3 linked regions of the Neurospora crassa OR74A genome follow. The protein of the gene in region 1 interacts with the protein of each later gene in a pairwise test. Links are inferred from orthologs where the notes say so. Each region holds a gene or a part of one and is shown in the gene's direction. Other genes may lie near its edges.

The links.
Region 2: the proteins of NCU17058 (region 1) and NCU11357 interact in binary tests that used the Schizosaccharomyces pombe proteins (3 or more experiments, as listed by UniProt). The link is inferred for Neurospora crassa OR74A from reciprocal best matches to the Schizosaccharomyces pombe genes dre4 and prp19.
Region 3: the proteins of NCU17058 (region 1) and NCU09070 interact in a two-hybrid assay, tested with the Schizosaccharomyces pombe proteins (2 studies listed by BioGRID). The link is inferred for Neurospora crassa OR74A from reciprocal best matches to the Schizosaccharomyces pombe genes dre4 and saf1.

Annotation. Positions count from the first base shown.
Region 1 is NC_026506.1:41,993-48,438, forward strand, and holds NCU17058 (FF domain-containing protein), read left to right. Parts: upstream 1-2,608; 5' UTR 2,609-2,930; coding exon 2,931-4,766; 3' UTR 4,767-4,976; downstream 4,977-6,446. Other genes in the region: NCU17057 (hypothetical protein), read left to right, coding at 1,034-2,578; gh10-4 (endo-beta-1,4-D-xylanase), read right to left, coding at 5,083-5,858, 5,937-6,083, 6,158-6,446. UniProt on the Schizosaccharomyces pombe protein: Component of the spliceosome involved in mRNA processing.
Region 2 is NC_026503.1:539,543-545,831, forward strand, and holds NCU11357 (cell cycle control protein), read left to right. Parts: upstream 1-2,308; 5' UTR 2,309-2,436; coding exon 2,437-2,449; intron 2,450-2,505; coding exon 2,506-2,550; intron 2,551-2,681; coding exon 2,682-3,126; intron 3,127-3,187; coding exon 3,188-3,645; intron 3,646-3,702; coding exon 3,703-4,178; 3' UTR 4,179-4,468; downstream 4,469-6,289. Other genes in the region: NCU16616 (hypothetical protein), read left to right, coding at 1-70; NCU11356 (phenazine biosynthesis PhzC/PhzF protein), read left to right, coding at 1,036-2,052; NCU05697 (hypothetical protein), read left to right, coding at 5,912-6,289. UniProt on the Schizosaccharomyces pombe protein: Probable ubiquitin-protein ligase involved in pre-mRNA splicing. May also function in DNA repair.
Region 3 is NC_026501.1:748,443-754,859, reverse strand, and holds NCU09070 (hypothetical protein), read left to right. Parts: upstream 1-2,332; 5' UTR 2,333-2,419; coding exon 2,420-2,492; intron 2,493-2,576; coding exon 2,577-3,325; 3' UTR 3,326-4,596; downstream 4,597-6,417. Other genes in the region: dbf2 (AGC/NDR protein kinase), read right to left, coding at 1-268, 319-1,021; NCU09069 (hypothetical protein), read left to right, coding at 4,973-5,690, 5,889-6,417.

The DNA of each region.
Region 1 (6,446 bases):
TGATCCGAATGGATGGCTTGACGACAGTCTGCCATTGCTGCCGGTGTCTCGACTGGAAAGCAGAAACGTCGAGATAATAGGTGTGGAGACGGCGGCTGGGGGTTTGCCAGGCCGCTCATGACATGCTGTGCCGTATAGACCATGATCTCCAGACGCGAACTAGGTACTACAGACGATACCTATGTATGCGGTTTGTGAATCGGTCACCTTGTGAGGTCTTGGGTTCGCCTTGCGATACGGAACGATGTGGATGGTGAAGAGTTTCCACTGCCGTGTGCAGATGACCCAGTGTCGGCCAGAAATATTGGCGGAAAAGACAGCAGCTTGCTTTGGTCGCTTCGCCGTCAAGTAGGTGTTATCGGGCTGCCACGGCCGACAAGCGGCAGAATTCGTCCAGTCAGGTAGATGCCGTGTCGTGTGTTTGGTGGGAGCTACTGTGTAGAGGTAGTAGTAGTAAGAATGGAACGAAGCTGGTGCAGCGACGTGGATGCCATGGAAGTTGGTGTTTGGTTCGAATCTCAAGTTGGGTGGGGTCCGAAATTGTTAGTGCAGTAGTGTATGTAGTAGGCTAAAACGGCAGGATCGGGTCATCCAGGAATCACCCGCCCTTGGCGCAGTGGGCCCTATAATTTGTCCAGGCCGCGGGGTGTCTACCTCTACCTGTTTCAACCATCAGCTTACCTAGGTAGGTAGGTAGATAGGTACACCCAACCCATTCACATTTCTTCATCGTTTTCAGATATTCGGCTGAGCTTTCACTTCCCTTGATCACACTTTTGGCTTAGGTGGTTCGACATCTTGCAACCTTTCATTGTGTACAGACCTATTTAGCTACCTCACACTTGCTATGTGTCTCTCCATCCACGGACTCAATCAGAACCCACGCTCAACGTCCTGCCAAGGGAACACCCTCACCAACGCCTCATCAGTTCACCCCGCCGTCTGATTGAATCGATCAACCGCCGCCAGTCGACTGGTATCCCGAGTTCGGCCACCGTTAGCGGCACAATCAACACCCACCAAAAAGGCGCAGATGTCACTTGGTTCGCTTTTTCTTTCCGAATTAGACGCCGGCCCCCCATCCCGTGCACAAGCGCCACTTCGCACATGCACACGGCACCGTGCGCCATCGTTCGACTCTTGCACGCCGTCTTCATGTTCCACGACATGTCTCGATAACCCAACAGAACCTTCAGACTTGTCATCCACCACCAAGATCACCACCCTCAATCATCTGCGCTCCCTGGTGCCTCACTCTTACTGCATTGGCATCGATGTGGAGGGTATCGAGGGGATAGCGCAGGGTATCACCTCCGTGGGCATCTCCATCCTGCCACCCGTCTTCTCCCTCTCCCCGGCATCCGCGGATGGCTCGTGGCCATGGCCCTTTCCAGACCACCACCAAGGGCAAATCGACCTCGACACCATCGCTTCTCACTACCGTCTGCAGTCTTACTGCTTTGCCGTCCTTGGCCGTGAGCGTGCCCGGTCCTACGAGCATTTCCACTACGGCGAGGTGGTCCACCACCCCATCACCCACCTCCAGTCCACCATTGTCTCCGTACTGCAGTCCATCCGCCTTCAGGACCCCACGGCCCATACCATCCTCGTGGGATTCGACATGGAGCTTGAGCACCGCGCCGTCAAATCTGTTTTCCCTTTGTTGGATGACCATGTCACACACTGGTGCGATGTCTCGCATACCGGTCTTGCGGATGCGAGATGGGAAGGTAGAAGGGTAGCGCACAAGACGCATCGCAAGATCTCGTTGCGGGATGCCATGTTGGCTCTCAACTTCAGGCGTAACCATGGGATACAGCCCCGAGCGAGGCATCACTCGGCTGGTATGGACGCTGTGCGCACACTGGGAACAATGCTTGCGCTTCTGGCGAGGGCGCCAGAGGCAGGAGGTTTGGTGGTCAAAAGGTTTACGTGGGAGGAGCATGGGAACAGAAAACTGTGGGAATGGGTGCCAAGACCGGCATCCAAGTTCCCTTGGACAGTGAAAATTGTACCGGTGCCGACAGATGACAAGGACGGAACAGCGCACCTGCCAGAGTCCCTTGGCAGACCAGCCCGGTTGTTCAATTTCGTAACGAGGAACTTTGCGGAACCAAAAGCCGTAGCGGTCTGTCCCCCGGCTAGGTCGGGGCCGCTGAAGACACATGGCTGGGTGAGTCTACATAATGAGGAAGAGATGAAGAGGCTCGTAAGAGACTGGGATGGGAAGATGGTTGTCGATGGGGTTATGTTGAAGGTCGGGGGGAGACCGCCTCCTGAGAACCCCCCTAAGACCTCACTTGAGCACCCGATGAAAGCCAGTTCCAGCATCAACGAAATGGTTAAAAGAGCTAAGTCAATGGCAGATGAGCTACACGTTGAAGAGGAAGAAGCAGAGCGGGACTCGTTTCTCGCAGAGGGACTGTCCAACATGGAGCTTGATGACACTGGAGAGGTAGCCAGTGCGCTAGATTTCTTGTTCCAATCGGACAGTGATGACAGCTCCTTGGGTGATATATGCCGTACTTATTCCCCAATTGAAACGGACTGGAACAAAAACAAAACAAGTTGGCGATGAGGTTCAAACGAGTGTCGACGATTTGCCAGACGACCCCTAACCCTTCCCCGGTGCCTCAATTGCTGCGCCTGTGTCAACTTGCCGGGGGGGCTGCCGCAGCACTGCTGATCCCTGCACCGTGACGCGAATCGCATTCTCCACCGGCGGTCTCCACCGGGCAGCACTTGCAGTTGCAGCTCCAAGTGGAAGAAGTTCAATTGCGACGAGCGACGGGACTTTCGTTTTGCGATTCGATTCGATTTCCATCTTTCCATCTTTCCATCTTTCCATCTTCCGTGTCTCCAGCTAGGCACCTATCGATACCTACCACTTCCACCCAAACCACACCCACCGCAACATACACTGGACCGCGATGCTGAAATCAACATACAAACCCTCTCCTGGTGCTCTTCCTCCCCTGCCACCAGGCTGGACCGAACACAAAGCGCCTACCGGGCACACATACTACTACAATGCCTCAACCAAGGAGTCAACCTACAAGCGCCCCGGCGTTACTCCGACTCCCACTCCTCCCGCCGCCGCTTCTCCGTTCGGTCCTCCGTCCGCTTCGCCAGTCCCCGGCGCCCATCCGCTCGCCGCGGCGCCAGCGAACCCCTCCATGAGCTACCTCCAACACCAAGCCGTTCCCGCGATAAACCTCTCCGATCCACGCGTTGCCAATGCCCTTATGGCGCAGTATTCCCAGCAGTCCCAGCCTCAACACCAAGGCGGGCGAGGGGGTTTTGGAGCAGGGGGTAGGGGCGGTAGCCAGCAACAGCAAAGGCCCCGACCACAGCCCGTCGACAAGCCAAAAGCCAAGATCGCCATCCTCGGCTGCGAGCCGTGGTTCCTGGTATACACAAAATATGGGAGAAGGTTTGCTTTCAATCCGGTAAAGAATGCGAGTTACTGGCGGATTCCGGAGAAGATCCTGCCAGCAGTGATCGAGTTGGATAAAGAAAGGATCAGGAGGAAGGCCGCTGGGGAGCCACCGCTCGAGGAGGATCCGAGATACAAGAGCCATGATAAGGAGGAGGAAAAGGCGGAGGGGAAGAATCTGGGTTCGGGGCAACAGGGCCTAGAAGAGACGCACGACTACGACAGTTCAGAATACGAAGAAGTAGAAGTCACCGATGACGAAGGCGCAGACCACAACGACGCCGAACACCCCTCCCAGCACCAGCGTACCGAAGACGAAAACCAAGGGCCGATCGAGTTTACAGAAGACGACTTTGCCGCTCAGCTGGCCATGATGGAAGGCGATGGTATGGATATTGACCAAGAATACGATTTTGCAGCACAAGCAGAAAACGTCGAGCCCCTTTCTGACGCCGACGCCCGCCTCCTCTTCCGCGACCTCCTCGCCGACTTCCGCATTAACCCCTACTCCCCTTTTCAAAAGCTGATCGACGAAGGCGACAAGACGGGTGTCTTCTCCGACCCGCGGTACACTGCCCTCTCATCCATGCGCGAGCGCAGGGAAGTTTACGATGAGTGGTCCCGCGAGGCTATCCAAGCCCTGAAAGAAGCGAGGGCAAAGGAAGAGAAGAAGGACCCAAGGATACCATACCTGGCCTTTCTACAAGAACATGCCACGCCAAAGCTATATTGGGCTGAGTTCAAGAGGAAATATCGAAAGGAAGATGTGATGAAGGATTCGGCGCATCACAGGAGCTTCAACGACAAGGAAAGAGAAAAGCTGTACAGGGAGCATATCAACAGACTGAAGCTACCGCACACACAACTCAAGAGTGACCTGAAGAAGTTGCTTGAGAGTGTACAGCTCCGGCAGCTGAACAACCGGTCCTCAGCAGCCAGCCTCCCGAGCCAAATCTTGGCAGACATCCGGTACATCTCGCTCGATGCGAAAACGCGCGACGAATTCATCGAGGGTTACATCCAGGGTCTTGCCTCACCTCCAGAGGCCCAAAGCGCTGCGGAAGAAGCGGAGGATGAGGTACTGAGGAAAGCTAGAGAGGAGAGGAAGAAGAGAGAGAAAGCGTTGGAAGAGAGGGAGAGGAGGGTAGAAGAGGAAAAGAGAAGACAAGAAAAGAGGTTAGCCGTTGAACGGGCGAGGCTCAGGGAGGAGGAGAGGGAGCTGCAGAGGGCTATGGTTGTTGATAAGAAGGGGCTGCAGAGTCAGCTGGGCGGTGGTGCTGCGGCTGGCGGGGAGGCGTCGAAGGAGGATGAGGCAAAGGAGGAGAGATAAGAGAGTGAGTAAGTGGCCGTCTCAACTAGATGGTATATACCCAAAATTGTTCGTCAGCATAGCGCTCAGGAGTTCCCATCTTCATATCACGCCGCGGGTTTCCAGGAACAACCAGGTTCCATGTATTTAACGGGGCGTTTGCACACTAAACATGTGAGAGAATGGAAGCAGATAGGTAAGGTACTCATCAAGAATCATATACAAGAAAAGCCAAATTGGCATCAGGCCTTTCGTGGCACACCTCGTCAAGTCATCCGTCGGCCGCCATCACACGTCAACCATCACTGGTTTCATTGTCACCATCATCCACCATTCTTCACGCCCCTGGCCTAGCAGTCGACCTAACCCTCCTCGCCGTCGCCAGCGTAGTCGCTACAACCGTCTTCGTCGTTTGTTCCCTTCCAAGCCCAGGAAGACCCTCAGGCCCGCGATGTGCTGCCGCCTCCAAGTCCAGTTCCGATACCGTCCCATTTCCATCATCCACTCCATCCATCCCCGCCCGCCTCCTCGACGCGCCCGCCGCATACGCCTTGAACATATTCAACACCGTCCAATACGCCGGCTTCTTAACATAATTGTTATCCCACATGCACGCCTCCCCCTCTGTGGGGATCTCGCTCGGCACCCACGAATACTTGTCGGTGAAATCCCACAAAGTCACCCCCACGCATTTCCTCCCTCCATACCCCTTGTTGACATCCAAGCAAGCGCCCACCACCTCTCCATAATCCCTTGCCTGCGCGTTCCACATTTCCCTTGTGCTCGGCACCTTCAGCGGGCTGTGTCGAATATCTAGCTCCGTGATGGCCACCTCATCCACCACCTCCAGGAACTGCTGCATTGTATTGACAATCTCGGCACGCGCAGGGACAAGGCCGACTTTGAGGTGGGATTGGAAGCCGACGCCGTGGACGGTGCCGCCTTGGGCCTTGACGGTGCGGAGCATGGCGAGAGTAATAGAAATTTTGGGGCCCGGGGAGAGGGACGGTGATTCCAGGGCGTAGTCGTTATAGTAGAGCTTGGCGCCGGGGTCGGCTTTGGCGGCGGTCTTGAAGGAGAAAGTGATGAAGTCGAGGCCCATGGCTTTGTACACTTGCGGGATGTCAGCTTAAAATAACCAAGGTATGGGCGGGATTGAAAGAGCATGAAGGCCAGCATGGAAAGACGTACTTGGACTCTGTCTAAACACTCCGTTCTCGTCGATGGCTTCATTCACCACATCCCAAGCATAACACCTCCCCTTGAAGTACTGTGCCAGATTCTGGATGTGTGCGGCGAGGATCTTTTCCATGTCGTCGCGGGAGTACGTCGTCTCAACTAAGGCATTATTCTCTCTCGTCAGTTTCCATTTGTTCCTCGCTCCACTCCTCTGCACACATAAGAGGACATACCCCAAGAAGGCAACCCCTTATACCACACCATGGTATGACACCTCAGCGTCTTCATTCCTCCCACCCCAGCTTTCGCCGTATTCGCTATAGCATCCGCTTCCGCAAAGGTGAATACTCCTTGGACCTCCTCGGTCTTCTTCCATTTCTGTGCATTGATGGGTGTCAGCGAGCCAAACTCGCCAGACCCCTGAAGCACAGACATGTACTGCTCATTGTATAGACGAGGGTTGTCGACGGCTGTGCCGAAATAGGAGAGGCCGGCGAGTTTGGCGTACTTGTCGAGCTGTGC
Region 2 (6,289 bases), on another chromosome or scaffold:
GGTGAAGAGGGTGGTTGATTTGAAAAGGAAGAGGAAAACTAGTAAGCCCAAGGCCCGGAAAGCCAACTAAATACCCCGCCAATACCTAAGACACCATTGCACCTTCCACTTTGCAACTAAAATACCCAATAGAAAGCCAAAGTCCTATCTGCATCCAGTGAAGCCCGCTTTGGCTTTCCTGTAACATACAAACGAACAAACCAGGGCTGAGTAGTATATTTCTAGAAGGACGAGTGCGTCGGGCAGGCAAGCAGGACTTTACAGACTGTCTCAATCGTTGAGAAGGGCGAGCGAGAAAATTTGGCTGGATTCAGTTGGTAATAATCTCCCAGTTTGGATGCGGAATGGGTACTTTTCATAATAGTTTGGGGAATCTTCTTAACGTTGAAAGATGCACATTTCTTGGTGACATCGACATGTGCCATGAAAGAGACGCCACTTTCTAAGCTGTGATCACGAAACTTGGGACACCAAAATGATGGCCAGTTGTGGCTGTGATGATAACTGGGAGAGTTCACCCTCATAACTCAAAGAAAGGAGGTGGTTTCTCAAAGCGAAAAGAAAGAAAAGAATTAGGCCTGGACAAATGGTGTCCTGCTGTCGGGCACACTAGGGTAGCCATTGGAGACTGGAAACACGAAGATCGAAACAAGGGGAGGATGTGGGAAAAGAACAGAGAAGGAAAGAGAAAAGAAAAAGGCATCAAGCATTGCGGGCAATGTCATCACGTAAGCTGGCCGATGTCCGGGGCTGCCATTGAGGGCTAGTAAGTCAATGACTGTACTATTGAACTAAGGACGCGACCACTTAAGACGAACCTCACCAAGGTAGCAATTGGAGCTACCCCACTTTTCAGCTGTGATTCATCGAACCATGACTCCTCCAACTCTCATCAAGGTATAAAACCTCGACACCGCAACAAAAGATCCAAAAATCGATATTGCTATCAAAGATACGAGCCATCAGTCCCACCTCACTCACTCTCTCACCATCTCATCCGGAGACAGCGGCACCTCCCGCACCAAAACATCCAAGATGGCCCAGCCCATCACCCTCACCTACCTAACCGTCGACGTCTTCACCTCCACCCGCTACCTAGGCAACCCCCTAGCCGTAGTCCTCACCCCCGCCTCTTTTCGTTCTCATCTCACCCAAGACGTCAAACAGCTCATCGCCCGCGAATTCAACTTCTCCGAGACCGTCTTTCTGCACACGCTCGACGACGAAGCGCGCGATGGCTTGACTTCCACCAGTCGGGAAATCGACATCTTCACCATCGAGGAAGAACTTCCCTTTGCCGGACATCCCACTGTCGGAACGGCGTACCTCGTGCTAAACCATTTGGGGTGGAAGCATGTGGACACGCTTGTTACCAAGGCCGGACCGATTACGATCAGACCGACGTCCGAAGGAAGGGTGAAGGCTACGATTCCGCATGCTGTGCGTATTCATAAGCAGACGTTGGGCGGGATTCTGGATGGAAAGGGAGGGGAGGTGAAGAAGGAGACAAGGGAGATGATTGAGGCTGCGCTGTCCGAGGACCCAGAGATAAGACAAGCGGAGTTAAATGGCCCGGTAGTTAGTATCGTGCGGGGAATGACGTTTTTGTTGGTAAAACTGCCGAGTTTGGAACATTTGGCGAAGGTGTCGACGGCGAAAAGGCTGGATTTTAGTAAGGTGGAGGGGTTGTTGGATAAGGGGGAGTGGGAGCGCGGGTTTGTGTCCAGGTATTATTATGTGCCGATGGAGAGGGAGAAAGAGAGTGAAAATGGGAGGAAGGAGTTCAAGTTTAGGACGAGGATGGTGGAGTTGGGATTTGAAGATCCGGCGACGGGTAGTGCGGCGTGTACGCTGGCGAGCTATTTGACGGTTAGTGGGAGGGAGATGGGAGGGGCGAGGTTTGAGTTGACGCAGGGCGTGGAGATGGGGAGGCAGAGTGAGATTGAGGTGGAGACGACGGCGGTGGAGGGGGAGAATGGGGAGGCGAAGGTGAAGGATTTGTATCTGGGAGGGACGGCGGTGGTGGTTACGAAGGGAAGTATCTATGTGTAGTGGATTTGCTATTGAGTTGAATGTGATGCTGTCTACATTGTAGATGTTGTGAGAAGTGGCATGGTGTTGAGTCGAAAATGACGAGTAAAAGATACATTGCCAAAGTACCTCCCAAACGTCCATAGTCATTTATGCAACATGATTGGTCACTTACCGTAGTATGCGGCTCGGTGTGGCTCAAGCTTGGCAGATGGTTCTCTGCCTGCCGCCAAACCTCCAAGTACCTCTAGCGTCGTCCAGCTCCAGGCCGTCGCCTGCCTGCTGTCTGTGCTAGCTGGCTGGCCGTGGCGCGTTGCAACAAAAAAGTTGGAGGACGACATTGACATCGCGACTTGAACCAAACAACCCATTTTACAGATTTTGCATTGCAGTCATATTATCAAGATGCTTTGCGCCCGTATGTCACAGCTCTAATCTACCGTTGCGCGACGCTGTGCTAACCGATTGACGCAGTATCCGGAGAGGTTCCCGAGGAGCCTGTTGTCTCGAGAAAGACCGGTACGCGCACTCTTCGTCATTGTTGTCACCATCACCGAGATCCCACCATTCCCACCGCTTCTGTTCCCACCAAGCCACACCAGATGCTTCCACGACAGGCCGAAATGCGATGCCATACTAACACATCCCAGGCGCCGTCTTCGAGAAGCGATTGATCGAAAAGTACATCCAAGAGAACCACAAAGAACCCGGCACCGATGAAGAGCTAGACGTCGAAGACCTCCTCCCCATCAAGACAAATCGGATCGTCCGCCCCCGCCCCCCGCAATTCACATCCCTCCCATCCATGCTCAAGGCCTTCCAAGACGAGTGGGACGCCCTGGTACTAGAGTCATACAACACGAGGCAACAACTGGCGAGGACAAGGGAGGAATTGGCCACGGCGCTCTACCAGAACGATGCCGCCGTTCGCGTGATTGCTCGCTTGACCAAGGAGCGTGATGAGGCCCGCGAGGCCCTTTCCAGACTCACAGTTACGGCTTCTGCTGGCGGTGCCGCAACTGGTGACGCTATGGCGGTAGACAGCGAGGGTCTGCCCGAGGCGTTGGCTGCACATGTTGATGAGGTTCAGGCCGAGTACGTTTACCGCGCTCCGTCATCTCGAAAAGTTGAATGCTGACAATTCACCGATCTACAGAAAGCAAAAGGGCCGCAAGAAGCGACCAGTCCCCGAAGGCTGGGCCACCACAGAAGACATTTCCGCTCTGCAACAAACCGCCTACACAGATCTCCCCGTCACACAAGCGACCTCGCTCGCTCTCAACGGTGGTTATGCGGCGGTTGGTGGATTGGACGGCAAGGTGGATCTCTACTCGGTTGAGGCCAAGGCACACGAACGCTCTTTGGAGGTTGGCGAGCCGGTGACTGCTACGGTGTGGATCGGCAACAAGGTCGTCTCGGCCACTTCGAAGGGCAGTGTCAAGGCTGTTGAGGGCGGTGTCGAGACTGGTTCTGTTACGGAGCACGCCGGTGCCGTGACGGGCTTGGCGGTGCACCCTGGCGAGCAGATTCTTGCTTCTGTGGGCGTGGATAAGGGCATCATCTTTTACGATTTGCAGTCGCTGCAGCGTGTAGCGCGTGTCTATACTGACGCTGGTATGTACCCTTTCACCACCCGCCTCACAGTCTCAAGTTACTAATATGAACAAACAGAACTCACATCCTGCGCCTTCCACCCCGACGGCCACCTCTTCGCCGCCGGCACGCAATCCGGCCAGATCGAGATCTTCGACACCAAGACTCTCCAGCGCATGGCCAACTTCACCCTCGGCGCCCCCGTCAAGACCCTCGTCTTCTCCGAAAACGGCTTCTGGTTCGCCGCTACGGGCGTCGGCCAGTCCTCTGTCACCATCTTCGACCTGCGCAAGGAAGGCGACGCCGCGCGGGCCAAGGAGCTCCAAACCGGTGACGTCTCCGGCCTTGCCTGGGATTACACGGGTCAGTACCTCGCCACTGCCGGATCGCAGGGCGTTACGGTGCAGCAGTATGTCAAGGCTAGCAAGTCGTGGACGGAGCCGTTGAGGACAAGCACGCCGGCTGTGGCGGTGCAGTGGGGAGACAAGGCGAGGCAGTTGGTGGCTGTCAGCAAAGAGGGCGTAGTTTCGGTGTTGGAGCCGAAGAGCGAGTAGGATCGCATTGGAAAATACGAAAAGTCGGACTCGGAGACGGTCTAGGTGGGGTTGGCTTTGGAAGACCAAAGAAGATTAAAGTGATGGGCTAGAGGAGCGAAAGGGGAGATCGGGGTTTATTGGTAGGCGTTAGCTCCTGATGAGAGGGCTCAATACCGGTCTGCCCAGTATGACGCAAAACATAAAGAGCTTATAAAGTAATTCATTGGTTTATCTGGACTCGAGCGTGAAAAAGATATTTGATGAACAGGTCTAGTGTAGACTTGAGCGGCGGGAGCATGTTGTTTTAAAGAGCATATCTGTCTTGAAGTCTTCACTTCTGATGATACCGAAGCAAAACGGGGAAATTCTGCGGTGATACTGTTGTATGGCTTCACCTCCGTATTTCGTGATCTCAACTTTGGCAGTGCCTGCGTTCCAACAGCTTCCATATCACGGTCCATCATCAGACCCTGAAAGAGCTCACGACGAGAACAGGGGATAGTGCAACCTGATAGGCTGACAGCTGTTTGTTCCTGAATGCCCGAATCGGGATGCAGGTAAGGTAGTGTACAATTGGACCCCTATGTCTGACTGTTAAGGATGCAGCGTTGTAACAGGCTCTTCTTGCCCGCAGTACTGCTAAGGTACTAACAGAGGCACATTAAGCATGGTCAACGTCAAGTCACCATAGGAACTTGTGAAAGACACCAACCGAGGTGTTGATGAATGACCTTGTGCTTCAGTTTTAGAAAACAAGCACAACGAACGACTTCCCCCGTGCCGGTTACCTAGGTACCGTAGAAACTCGGTTAGTTTGTAAAAAGAAAAGGCCTTCCCCCTTTGAGCGCCCGACAGCCGTGCAAGCACAGGAAGCCGCATACCTCTACTTCTGTACACATATGTCTGCTTAGTTAGTGAAGGCTCTACCGTACTGCCCAACACTAAGGTACCTACCTATCTTGCCTACACGGCATTCCGAAGCACAGGCTCAGACTCGAGTGTTACAGATCTGCCAGCACCCTGCCTGTTATCCAGGGGCAGGTTTTCCAGGCATTAGATAGCTTTTTGTCAACTTCCCTCAACCATTCTTATGAGAAGTTTGGCAGGAAGTCTTGGTGGTAACTTTTTTTTTTCTTTCTTTTTCCCTCCAGTGTCTCAAAATATCAAAGCCTCAGTTCCTTCCTTTGTTGACCGAGTCTCTTCGTCTATCACGGTGATGGTTGGCTCTCATCTTTTAATTTCTATCCGCTCACCCAAAAAAAAAAAAAAAAAAAAAAAAAAAACCGCTTGAAACCACAACACGCTATTCGCTCATTTGCTGACCAAGCTGACCAAGCTGCGTTTGCCACCACCCCTCGAGGCTGCAGACATTCAGCTAGCTCTCCTTCAACCCTGACCTTGTTGTGCCTGATCACCGTCCAGCATACCTAGGGACGAATTGGGCGTTGAGATCTGTTCCCAAACCAGATTCACTTCAATACGTGCACTTGTTGAATCAGCTGGGCGGTTCGGCTTCATCCCGGTCGTTCATCACCAGCGGCAAGGGGGACCACACTGGTGTTGGCCCGGAAGCTCGAGCGAGGTCAGTCTGTGCAGTGCTGCTCTCCACAGTCTTCCAATCGAGTTGGGGAAATGCGCGGAGGCGACTATCAGTGAACAAGCAATTTCACCCACCGAACACCGACACTGGCACCGCGACTTTGCAGTGGAATCAACCTCCTTCCGCCCCCCTCCATTTCCCTCCCGTCATTATGGACGCGGCGGACGACTGGTTTGATGACGAGGGCGGATTTTTGTACCAGGTCGAGCAATTAGTCGCTGAGGGCGAAGGGCAATTCGAGGACCATTACGAAGACCATCTGGCCATCGACAACGACAGCAGTGACATTGACATTGACCTGAGTCTCGACAACAGCGAAGACGATCACGGCGAAGTTTCTGAATTGGACTGGGATTACAACTTGGACGACAACAACAACAACAACATTGATCTAGACCTTGACGACGAAGAAGGAGCAGAAGAAGAGGAGGAGAATCACTACAACGTTGGCGGCGGTTCGCTGTCGCCCCGCCATCGACGGAGCCCACATTCCCCACAGTCTCCGTCATCTAGCGAATCTAGCCTGGTC
Region 3 (6,417 bases), on another chromosome or scaffold:
ACCTCCTTGGTGTCTTTCTTCTGGGCCAAAAAGACCTGTCCGTATCCACCTTGACCGACCTGGGTAAGGATTTGGAAGTCGCCCTGGCGCAGTCTCACTCGTCGCTTGCGGAGATTAGCACGTTCCCGACCAGCGTACTTGTGCCACATCTGCTTGTACGTCTCCTCGTCGGTCTCGGGTGGTGGCGGGAACTCGGCCTTGAAGGCATTCAGACGGTTTTGTCGTTGTCCGACATAGGTGAGCAGGTCAAAGTAGTAGTCAAGGAAGTCTATCAACAATTAGCACCAGCAAAGAGCAACATGATGACATGATCCTTACACAGCTGGGTCACGTTGACCAGTCGCTTGACATTGGGTTTGTTTAGCAGCTCGCGCTCCTCGGGAGTGAGGCCCCTCGACGTGTTAAATCTCTTGACCGTGGGTGAGGCGCGCTCTCTTGCCTGGTAAAGTTCCTGTCGGGAGAGGGCAGCATGGCTGCGCTGGTATGTTGGCTCAGTGGCAGGGTCGCGGGGGTCGCGGGGATCGCGGGTTACGACTGGTGGTGTGTTCTCCTGGTTCTGATCCCTTTCCTTTCTCCTGGAAGTGGGCACAGGGTAAGGCTTCGGCAAGTTCTTGTCCACCTGCTTGTGGACGACACTAACAGCACTGCCATTGCCTGTGAGGTCCTCAAAGGTATCGTCGCCCACGTCTTTGAGGTTGCTCTTTCCAGGCGAGAGAGGCGTGACCACACTCTGGGGACGGCCGAGCTTGATGGGACTGTCGAGGGCACTTGGGGTCCCGAGTTTGGATGAGGTGCCGGGCCTGGATGACGTCGCGAGCTTGGTGGGCGTTGAAAGCTTCATAGACTCGAAGGCGGCAGGCAGCTCATTGGCGCCAGGCGGAAGGGTCCTCTTGCTGGGACTCCCCTGAGGTGTGCTGACGGGGTTGACGAAGCTCGAGGTGCCCGGCCTCATGGGGGTCTGGGGCCTGGTACCATCCTGCTTCCCGCCGCTAGGGAAGAAGTTTGTCAAGTAGCTAGACATGACTGACAGCTATGCCAGATAGCACCACGTAGAAGGGGAGAGTACTCCTGAGGTGGTGTTGAGAGATGTGCTCCTGGCGGGCACGGATCCAAAGTCCAAACGGAGCAAGGTAGGGCTGACTTGCTTGGGCGATCTCAGCCTCCACCTGCAGTAGCGGTACAGGGCAGGGGAACACCGTGGGGATGGATAGCGGCGAGGCGGGAGTCAGTCGGTGTGCCCGAGTTCGTCTCGTCTCCTTTATCTGTACTGTCCGCGCGGCTGCAAGGCTAGACAAGCGAAGCAGGGCCGCGGTGGGAAAGCTTGGATGAGTGATGCAGGAGGATAAATGGGAGATTAGAGTGCCGAGCTGTCAGATGCAACAAGACAGATCCCAGGTGGATAGCTATGGAGACGGGACTGCAAGAGGCAGCTGAAAACAAGCTGAGATGGATGGGGCGGCCGCGATACTCGAATGGCGCCCGGGGGGGTTGATAGTCTTGGTAGGTAGGTAAGTTGTAGAAGTAGAGGTACTGTGTACAATGCTGTTGGTCTGTGTTGACTGTTCAGTTGTTGACTTTTGGTGGGAGGGAGTGAGCTCGTCGCTGTGCCGTTGTCCGTGGTGTTGCAAAAAAAGGGACACACAACTGCCGTCAAGAGGTTCCTGTTCTTTTTGTTGTCAGAGGACAGAAACGAATCCTGGTCGCCAGCGGGAAACCGAAAATTAAATCATGCAATTCCTCCTTCACGAACAGCGACGGGCAAGTGCAGCAACCGAACCTTTGCTGAGACAAGTTCTCCCTGGCGACTGAGTTGGGCAGGAGCGGGAAGCACCTGGACCTAGCAAGACGTCCACGGGAAAAAAGGCGGGGCAACTTCAGGTTGAATATCAACAACCAAGCGGGATGGGCAGTCGCAGCAAAAGCCCCGGCAACGGGCAGCCATTCACCGATGCCACCTAAGAGTCAGGGACAGGAATTGGGTGCAGGTGTCAGTGGGTGCGGTACGGTACGGAGTACGGACAGTGGCCCTTTGGGTGTCAATGGCTCCCCAATGGCTCCCCAATGGCCCCCCAATGGCCCCAAATCGCGGGGTCAGAAGGGGGGGGGGGGCGGAAGGGGCTGCCAGACAGACCAGGCAGATTGGCAATCGCGACTCCTTGGACCGCCGCGCTGTGAACGGAAATGTTCTTGGCAGAGCTGAGCTGTGCACTATTCCAACGCGTCATTCCGCTCCAGAAAGCTCCATCCATTTAAATTGCGGTGCCACGATCCGTCCTTTGTTTGTCCATGTTTTTTTTTTTTTTTTTTTTTTTTTTTTTTTTTTTTTTTGTCTGCGCCATCACCACTGTCGAGATAGTAGTACCAACTACACCATCAAGAACCTACTCTACCCATCGAATTGAGATAAGCAACACCGACAATGCCCAAGGAGAAAAACTACAACCCAGTCCAAGCCCAGCGCAAAGCTGACAAGGCAAAGGAAATCAAAAAGGGCAAGTGGAAGAAGGAAGACAAGGCGACATTCGGATCCTACCCGCAAGCGATATATATACTAACAATAACCTCACATTGCACAGGCAAGGCGCAGCAGCAGGCAAGGCGAAATGAACAGCTCGCGAAACGAAATCCCGAAAAGATCCAGCAGCAGATCGACGACCTAAAAAAGATCAAGGAAACGGACGGCAAGCTCTCCTCCCATCAAGAGCAGGTCCTCGAGGCCCTCGAAAAGGATCTCAAAGCCGTCAAGAAGGCCAGAGAGGCACTAGGCGACAAAGCGCCCACCTTTGGCCACGGTCCGCGACGCGATGGAGCCCTCGGAAAGCGGCGACGGGAAGACGAAGAGTCTAGCGATAGCGACGTGCCCGAAGATGTCAAGAGGATCCCGATGCCGCGCGACACTCCCCCGCCTATCCCCAAGGACGTCCTAGACGAATGGTATGCCAAGCGCAGGGCAAAGCGGGCGGCAAACGCGAACCACGAGCCACTCGGCCAAGGCAGAGGACATCAGCAGCAACAAGAAGACCAGAAGATGGAGAAGCCAAAGGCACCCGTGGTTGAGGTCAAGACTGTGTACGAAGCCAAGCCTATGGTCCGCGATCTTAGAAAGGAGGCCGTGAGCGCATTCGTACCGACCAATGTCCGTCTGAAGCTGGAAAAGGGCAAGGGCAAAGGTGGTCTCATGGAACCAGAAGAAGCCGACGAACTCGAGAGGGCCGGTTACCTAAAGACCTCCCAGCCGGCAGAACAGTCGGCTCATGGGCTGCAAGTCGAGAAGAGCGCCGGCCCACGTGGAGTTACCATGGAAGAGGCGGAAGAAGAAGACTAGAGGCCGCATCGAACCCTTTTAGGCGGCGAATAGGAGTCTGGGACCTTATGGTTCATCAATCGACACCACACCTACATTACATCTCAAAGCAAGCGCTTCGGCCCGTGTTTTCCAAGCCACCTTGTGAGCAGGCCTGGTCCCGCTGCTGTCATATCAAACTTGGCGACGGCCTTGGCGATGCGACAACGACTGCCGAGAACCTTGGGGCTAACCAGGCTGATGGAATGAGCTCCGCCTTGGCATTCGAGAGCCGCGGCCAATATATTTGCTTGGCCGCACTGCGTTGATATCAATAGCCGATGCAGCACATGCTTCTCAGAGTCACCGGCGTGGATGTCATGCTCAGCGTAAAACAGCTCGTTGGGTTTGGAGCCGGAAAAGGGAATGGACAGGGCCAATTGCCTCGGACAGCCCAGCAAACGGCTTACCGTGGAGAAAAAGAAACCGTTGACCCATCACGACAGGCCCACAACAAAAAGACACCACAAGGGTAAATTGGGACATCGCCAGCGACGGGAATCAGTCATACCGCGCTTCCTGCTGCACATTACGGTTCCCGCCATTCGGCAAGCCCTAGCGCCGTTGCTATTGAAGCGTGGGCGCAGAGATTCTTCAACCTCGTGTTTTACGATTCCCTGCCGCTACGCTAGGGTCCTTCGACATCAGAAATCAGCCTGAAGGCTATTCGACATACACTATCAATGCCAATTTGCAGCATCGCTCCAACAGACGGAGCCAGGTGAGGAACACTGCCTCGCCGAAGGCTTAGTTACGCAGCGGAGTGGTTAGCTTTCATCCCCGCAAGCGAGCGTGGAGCTCGGCAAGGGTTCACTCCAAGCATCATTTGTCAAGATGCGGAAGATGACGGGAAGGGGTCCGTTGGCATCTGTCCAAACTCCAAAGTGCCCCTGGGTCGCCAACGGGAGTACATACATAATCTCAAAGTTGGTGACGGTTGGTGACACGGATGTGACTTGGGAACCCCTCCCGGAGTAACAATGACAGGACTAATCGTTACATCGTTCAAACTGCCAGTGTCTGCAAGTGCAAGAGGAGTTGGTTGATATTGTGGCTGTCTAAGCACCTCATCCCTAGCAGTGATTTGCACCCCTACGTAGTGTAGAGACTTTGACTCCGTTTCACTAGTGATTTGTCCAAACAAGGCCTTAGGTTCACAGTCCGGGAACCAATTTGCAGGGGTTCCCAAGGGAGCCATTGTCCACTGACAACGGGTCGAGCCCACATGTGCCCACGTTCTTACATCAGTCATTCTTTATCTTCAAACCAACGGGAGTATCCAAAGTGGGCGCATACAAGCTCTGGACCCTTTTTTTTTTCTTCCTTTCTTTGCCGATCACCACGTTCCCCTCGTCAGCGGCGCGATATTGTGGAGATTTTTCTTCATAGCTGCCTACGTACTATTCTAGACCATAGAGCAAACAAAACAGCCGTGTTTGATCTCGTTCTATCGTGCTGTGACAGGTAACAACCATTTCCCGTTTCGTTTCTGTTTAAAGTGTTTCAGCATTTGGTTGTCCCCCTCGAGTCTGTGAACTCGACATAGGGACGTCCTTACAAGACGTTCTTGTTTTCTTTTCCCTTTCGTCCTTGTCGAGGAAACATTCAGTTCCACTCATCACCGAATCCATGACCAACAGTCCCTTCCCTCATCGCCCGCCAGGCGCGGACAGCAAGACCCCAGAGTTGACATTGGATCTCGAACAGACCTCACCCAACAACTCGAAATCAGTGCCGATCACAGAACCGCCACCAACAGCCTCCATTTCCAGAGGCAACAGCACCACAGACCCGACCCTAAAAGACATCACACCCAAAATGCCAGAAACCGCCGCCTCGCGAAAGGCCCAAGTCGTCCCACTCTTAGATGGCCACGATGACCCTGAACCTAGCAGCAGTAACGCAAGCAGCAGCCGACCATCAGCCGAAAATCACCACCACCAATCCTCCTCCATCGACTCCCTCACCCCTCTGACCCCCCGTGTGAATCCCCCTTCTCGCCATCACCACGAAGACCCCAACCTCGTAGAAGACGATACCCTCATGACGGGAAAATACGCCCTCCGATCCTGGCTCACTGTCTTCGGCGCCTGGCTGGCCATTTTCGCAGCCTTTGGGCTTTTGACTGTGTTGTCGATATGCCAGAGCTATCTGTCGGGGGAAAACGAGCAAGTGGCGAGCATCAGCGACGGCACCTTCGCTTGGGTTTTCTCTCTCTACTTCGTGGTTAGTTTGGGTTTGGGGATGTACGTGGGCCCGTTGTCAGACCGGTTTGGGGCGCGGTATATGGTCTTGAGCGGGACCGTGTTTTTGGGGGTGGGAACGGTGGTGCTGGCTTGCAGGAGTGGTGAGTCCAATTCTTTCTTTCATTTTTTCCCCTGTTGCTGGGGGTTAGGGAACATTCAAGAGGTGTGGGAGGTGTGAGAGGACGAGTCGCAAATCACCTTGATGAGAAGAAAAACTATGAAGTGAGGGCTGAAAAGACGGGAATCATGGACAGGACAGTAAAAGTGACATGGCACTAACGATGGTAAAAAAAAAACAGAAACATGGGCCATTCTCCTTGCCTTCGGCATCCTTTCCGGCCTAACGTCCACCTTCCTCTTCATCCCCTCTCTCGTTACCATCCACCAATTCTTCGGCCGCTCTCCGCGATACTACACTTTTGCGACCAGCCTTGCCACCACCGCCGGTCCCACGGCCGGCATCGTCTTCCCTTATGCCACTCGAAACCTCTTCCACGAGGTCAGTTGGCCATGGACTATCCGTACCTTGGGACTCATCTGCTTCTTCCTGGCCGTCATCGCCAACTTCTTGATCCGCTCTCCTCCTTCTGTGAGGTCACCTGCCCCTTCGGTACCGACATCCCCTACTTTATCTTCGCCGGGGAAGAGGAAGAAGTCATCACCACCCGGCTCTGCTGATTCTACCACGTCCATGGCTGCCAGCGGCCCCTCATCATCATCAGCATCAGCAAACCCCTCCTTGATGACAACAACAACAACAACAACAACAAAACCCAGCAGCACAATCCACCCCTCCCTAACCCCCTTCTTCTTGTCTCCCTCTTACAC